Kluyveromyces lactis: one gene and its partner. The protein of the gene in region 1 purifies or fractionates together with the protein of each later gene. This does not show direct contact. Links are inferred from orthologs where the notes say so. Each region holds a gene or a part of one and is shown in the gene's direction. Other genes may lie near its edges. The genes, in order: GCD1 and SUI2.

Region 1 (3,524 bases):
AACCATCCATCTGAGTTAATAGTTCCATCAATGTACGTTGAATTTCACGATCTGCTGAGGTACCTTCGCTAAATCTACGTCCACCGATAGCATCTATTTCGTCCATAAAGATGATACAAGGTTCATGTTCTTTGGCGTATGCAAACATTTCTCTAATGATACGTGCTGATTCACCGATGTATTTATCTACAATACCGGATGCTGGGGAGAAGATAAAGTTGGCACCGATAGTTGCAGCAACTGCCTTAGCCAATAAAGTCTTACCAGTACCAGGAGGACCATATAGTAACACACCCTTAGGTGGTTTGATTCCCACTCTCTCGAAAATTTCTGGGTTCTTTAGTGGAAGCTCAATGACTTCTCTCAATTCTCTGATCTGTTCCGTAAGACCACCGATACCATCAAAAGAGATTTCACCTTGTTCAAAAGTGGTCATATTATAAACTAATGGGTCAGTTTCTCTAGGTAAAATTCTCATAATAGTTAATGTAGTAATATCAAGTGTGACTCTGACACCCTTCTTTAGCTTGGAACGATCAACGGAGTTCCTCACACCCACAATATAACGAGGACCTGATGACGCTTTTACAATGTATTTTTCCTCGGAAAGTTCCTTCATAACTTCCCCAATGAGTTGGCCAATCGACTGTAACGCCTTGATATCCTGTTCTGTTCTCTCATATTCTGCTTCTAGTACCCGTATGGTTTCTCTGCGTTGCTTCAACATATCGTCGTATCGTCTGTGTTCCATAAGTCTTTTCTTAAAATGTAACATCGCTTTTTCCTTTGCAGCCTGTTCTGGATCCACAGGCTCCACCGTTTCAGGTGCGGCAGCGTTATTTTCTCCCGAATTAGAGTTGGTACCAGCTCCGTTAGTGTCATCACCATCGTTTTCTTCCATTGCTGCTAGTAAAGGATCCTGTTCTTGAGACATCTTTAGTATTTATTCTGATCAGACTAGCTTAATCTTCCTATTCCTGCTTCTCAATATGAAAGGAGAAAAATCCCGTACCTTTATTCTGTCAGTATTCCTTCCTGGTTGGACTAGTACTGTTATAATGGATTGACTCAACTCAATTGGTTGGATTTGGCCTTTCTTACCTATTCTCTTCATTTGGACTATGGGTTACTAGATTGAATGGTGGCAAAAGCATTCGGAATCTACTAAATAGAAAGGGAGATCATTACGCACGATTTTGAAATTTTCAGGAATAAAGCTTTTCAATATAAGATGGAGTATTGACTAACCTAAGCATCACGTAGGATGATGACCTGCCACGGTACAGTTTGAAGATATATAGTGGGTTCTACGTTTTATTGATGCGTTGATCTCCAGATAAGACAGTTTAATATTCCCAGAATAGTACAGAACAATGGATTTTCAAGCTTTTATATTCTGTGGACGTGGTGCGAAGCTAACACCGTTTTCCAATGTTCGTGGAGACACTGGTGTTCCCAAAGCTCTATTGCCGGTTGCAAACCGCTCCATGATTGAGTTCGTACTAGATTGGTGTGAGCAAGCCCAATTTAAAGAGGTCAATCTAGTTATTGACGCATCCGATGCTGACGAATTAGAGGAAAGTTTGAAAAAATACCGTGAAGTGAGAGGGCATTATTTTGGACTGTTATCCCAAAGCGTTGGATCGAACCATGCTCACTATTTGAAAAAACCATCTCCTATTAATATTATACCCTCAAAATGTGAGAATACAGGAGAATGTCTGAAGAATGAATTGCTAGATAAGATAACTGGAGATTTCGTGTTGTTACCTTGTGATTTCATCACAGACATTCCACCACAGGTGTTTTTAGATCAGTATTTGAATAAAGATCCGGAGAATCTAGCTATGGCAGTATATTATCACAATGGGTTTGAGAATATCGATAAGAAGCATTTAAAGCAATTCCTGACTGTATACTCCGAGAATTTGGAGTCTGTTAGTAAGCCCGTTCTTCTAGACGTTTATTCCAAAGACGATGTGGACAAAACGAAATATTTACAAATCAGATCCCAAATGCTTTGGAGATATCCGAACTCCTCTGTATCCACAAAATTACTGAACTCCTTCATTTACTTTTGCTCTCATGAGTTAGTAAACCTATTGAAGGATGAAACCGAGAAAGGTGCTGGAGAATTAGACTCTGATTCGGAAGCCGTTGATTCTTTGGCCACATCATTCCAGAACACGTCTTTCTTGAAGGGAAAGAAGAAATTAATCAAAGATCCAATAAACTGTAATAAATCGCTAGGCAAGCTATTCAGGGATTTGTCTAGGCGTTCGTGGCAGCATGTGAAACCCAGAGAAACTATAGGTATCTTCGTGTTACCTGAAATCGGATTATTTATCAGATCAAACAGTTTGAGTGCATACATGGAATCCAATAGGTACGTTTTGAAGATTAAACAAACGGCGATTCAACAACGCACTACTGATGGTTCTTCTGCTATCGGTGCAGATTCTATGGTTGGTAACAATTGTGCAATTTTGGAGAAAACCAATATTAAACGTTCGGTCCTCGGTGACAATTGTAAAGTAGGAAAGCGATGCCGTATCGTTGGGTGTGTTGTGCTTGATAATGTTGAAATTGATGATGAAACCCAGCTAGAAAATGTCATCATCGGTAGAAATGCAAAAATCGGCAAGAAATCAAAGCTTACAAATTGTTATGTTGAGGGCTCTTATATTGTCAATGAAAAATCCACTCTCAAGGGTGAAACTTTGACAAGTATTTACATAGATGACGAAGATTACGCATCCTCTTTACTGGATTCAGATTCATCTGGATCCGAGTCTGATTACACTGATGAATATTATGACGATGAGGATTATGTTGATGATGGACTCTTCGACCGTTGAACTTCGGTAAATTATTATAAATAGAGTATTTTTGCATATATCATGATCAAATAGCCGTACCATGTGTACCTTAATAATTATAGAAATCTGATAACTAATCTTCTGAGCTTGTGTAAACTTCTTGAACGGATTTCTGAATATTTACAGTTTATGTTTACAAAATAATTGATGATTTTCGTTCTGAATTAAATACATAATAATAAATTACTATTCACAAGTAAGATTTTCCTGATGTTGAATGAATGTGTGAAATTATGCTGAGAGTTGTTTCTTATCTTCAAAGAGCCAGTCCCAACGGTCCTTTTTATGCAAAATTGCTAAAATCAATACTGCCGGCAAATGTAGTACACTGACCCAGAATGTTCTCCTCGCATAAACGTTGGCCATTGCCAACCCTTTGTTGAATTCTGTCTTGTTATTGTATATCTCCTTGGAGTAATTACGCTTTTGCTGGAAATAAAACTTGAATGCCCATAGTGACATCCAAGCATTAACAAATGCTGAATCCAATTGATAATACCAGTCGGTGACATTGAAGTATGAAAGACCAAAACATAATGGGAACATCAGAAGTGAGTATCGCAGAGCTACACGAGCATTAAGCTTTGGATTCTTCCATGCAGTCATGACGTATCCCGCGTTCTTGTACTCATTCCTGATGTTGTG
Region 2 (3,068 bases), on another chromosome or scaffold:
AATACTGGTATCGAGATGGTAAAATCTTAAGCATAGAAGTAAACACTACAACCGGAGCATCATTAGTTGTCACTAGAGGTGCATCCGGAAATTCCATCTTCAATGTGGATCCCATAGTAAAGAAGGAACCTGACAGTTTTGATTTATTCCAATTTGGTAAAAACACCAAACCCGCCTCTGCAAATATGTTCACGCCAGGGTATGTTCTTGCACAATTTAGTGCAGAAGATACGTACGAAGACATGGTTCGGATCGAAGAACCCCACTTGATAAAGTCTATTCAGCTTGTTGATACTATCCCAGTGGTCGAATTTCACAAGATTGGATTGCTATACATGGGACCCAATGACACAACTGAAAAGGATATATTGTCACACTCTATGGAGGATGGATCCCATCAATACAAATGGTTTGTTAACGAACTCGGATCAATAATAAAACTTGATCAAAATGAAACTTTTTACATCGGCGGTTTGAATCCTGGTACAGATGGAGAGTACGCGTTGATCTGGCATGATCAAAAATGTCAAATCGTGTTCCATACTGTATCCCTAATGCCTAACGACGACAAAGCAGATCCAGATCGAACAATGAAAAAAAGACACGTTGGTAATAACTTTATCAACATATATTACGATGAACGAAAACAGGACTCGTTCCCGTTTGACATAATCAAAAGTCAATTCAATTTCATAAACCTTGTCATCAAACCAATGTGGAACGGCAAAGATGAAAAAGACTCTGTGAGTGAATTCTATAAGGTGAAGATTTACAGAGCAAAAGAAGTTCCTGGTATATTCTCTACATCCCACTTCAAAATCATGCATAGGCAGCGCCTCGCAGCGTATGTCAGGCATTTATGTACTGTCGCAAACACATTCGCACAAATTTGGCACGAGTCCGTATCGTCAGAACACTGTTCTACATGGTCTCGCAGATTCGCACACATCAAAACAATCAAAACGAGGCTAAAAAATCAATCTTCTGGCGCTTCTTAGCACGATCGCATCTAGTATGGGTTACTGGTAGTTAGTATCTCTGCAGCTTAATACCTGAGGGCCATTAGTAGTAAGTAATGAAACTTAATTATAATAGTTAGGTCACGTGTAGTACATCACTCTTAACGAGCAGATCTAAAAATTTTTCGAAACTGTGATGCGAAGTATCAAAAAATTGAAAAGATTGATCATTGGAAAGCATATACAATATTGAAGCAACAAAGCAATTTCAATATCGGTATACAAAGGTTTCCAATTAAGCTTCGAACTTACGCGAGCAGTCTCTGATACCGAGGAATTTAATTTATCTGTATCTTGCGATAGATAACGATTACAAACAGAGTATACTTTCTTTGAGTTTGTGGTATATCTTCCAATTGAAAAATTACACAAGAATTTATCATCAGAGCCATTAGATATACAGAGCAGGATGTCCACTTCCAATTGTAGGTTTTACGAGAACAAGTTCCCTGAAGTTGATGATGTTGTGATGGTAAACGTCCAACAAATCGCTGAAATGGGTGCTTACGTTAGATTATTGGAATATGACAACATTGAAGGTATGGTTTTGTTATCTGAATTGTCAAGAAGACGTATTAGATCTATCCAAAAGTTGATTCGTGTTGGTAAGAATGAAGTTGTCGTTGTATTAAGAGTGGATAAGGAGAAGGGTTATATTGATTTGTCTAAGCGTCGTGTTTCTGCAGAAGATGTCATCAAATGTGAAGAAAGATACCAAAAGTCCAAGGCCGTACATTCCATCTTGAGACAATGTGCTGAGAAATACCAAGTATCATTGGAAGATTTGTACAAAGCTTATGCATGGCCTTTAAGTCGAAAGTACGGTCATGCTTACGATGCCTACAAGATGTCCATTGTGGACCCTAACGTTTGGGATGGTATTGAATCTATCAGCGACGAAATTTTCCAAGAATTGAAGGGCCAAATCACCAGAAGATTGACCCCACAAGCGGTCAAGATCAGAGCAGATGTCGAGGTTTCATGTTTCAGTTACGAGGGTATTGATGCTATCAAAGAAGCCCTAAAATCTGCTGAAGAGTTGTCCACTGAACAAATGCAAATCAAAGTCAAATTGGTGGCTGCCCCATTGTACGTCATCACCACCCAATCTTTGGACAAAGATCAAGGTGTTCAACTATTGGAAACTGCTATCGCAAAGATCGAAGAAGTCATTCTAAAGTACAATGGTGTCTGTAATGTCACAATGGCTCCAAAGGCTGTCACCGCCACTGAAGATGCTGAATTACAAGCACTATTAGAATCCAAGGAATTAGAAGGTAGATCAGATTCCGAAGATGAAGACTCCGATTACGAATAGATGGTTTAAAGTGAAACCAAAAAAAAAGGAATTAAAAAGATATACTTCTACTGCTTCCTGTTGTTATACGTGTATACAGCGTTTCGATACCTATAAGTCTTTGCATGTCCTCTCTCCATTTCTTACTTCACTTAACATTGCATTATATTTACTGATGAAGATGAAACAAAAACAAAAGGCCATTTTCTAACAGATGTTCAGGTAATAAACCTATGTTTCCACTTGACTGTGCAGAGAACTACTCTAGCATTTGAACAGGTGGTATCTGCCAATTACTGTCAGCCTTTCCATTCGATTACGACTGGACGTTTTAAAGGATTTTTACATTAGGAAACTCCCATTTTCCTTTTTTCTAGTTTCTTCTTATAATAATAAAGGGAAGCTCCATAAATCCTTATTTTGAAAAAAGAGTGAAAAGTCTTTAAAGTACAACGAAACGAAACTTCTATGTAGTAACATTAGCACATCGGGTATTTCATTTAAACGTGTATAATAAACTAATTCGAACGTCAACGTAATTTGCATTTATTCACAGCCTAGTTGGGATCCTGTATGGTATTTCATCGCTAGGCCAGGAAAATAATAAGAAAAAAAGGGAAACACATAGACAGATATAAGTCGCAATAAGATGAGTTCAGTAAGACCAGCTACTCATGCCGGATCATGGTATTCTTCTTCTCCTGCTTTGATAACTACGTTGCAACAACTATTGTCAAGAGACGAAGCGGTTC

What was found.
Region 2: the proteins of GCD1 (region 1) and SUI2 purify together in Saccharomyces cerevisiae (affinity purification with mass spectrometry; 10 studies listed by BioGRID, with this or other methods). This does not show direct contact. The link is inferred for Kluyveromyces lactis from reciprocal best matches to the Saccharomyces cerevisiae genes GCD1 and SUI2.

The regions. Positions count from the first base shown.
Region 1 is NC_006039.1:830,471-833,994, reverse strand, and holds GCD1 (translation initiation factor eIF2B subunit gamma), read left to right. Parts: upstream 1-1,373; coding exon 1,374-2,858; downstream 2,859-3,524. Other genes in the region: proteasome regulatory particle base subunit RPT4, read right to left, coding at 1-934; COX10 (protoheme IX farnesyltransferase), read right to left, coding at 3,111-3,524. UniProt on the Saccharomyces cerevisiae protein: Acts as a component of the translation initiation factor 2B (eIF2B) complex, which catalyzes the exchange of GDP for GTP on the eukaryotic initiation factor 2 (eIF2) complex gamma subunit.
Region 2 is NC_006037.1:1,020,098-1,023,165, forward strand, and holds SUI2 (translation initiation factor eIF2 subunit alpha), read left to right. Parts: upstream 1-1,428; coding exon 1,429-2,337; downstream 2,338-3,068. Other genes in the region: KLLA0_A11792g (uncharacterized protein), read left to right, coding at 1-998; MHO1 (Mho1p), read left to right, coding at 2,966-3,068. UniProt on the Saccharomyces cerevisiae protein: eIF-2 functions in the early steps of protein synthesis by forming a ternary complex with GTP and initiator tRNA. This complex binds to a 40S ribosomal subunit, followed by mRNA binding to form a 43S pre-initiation complex.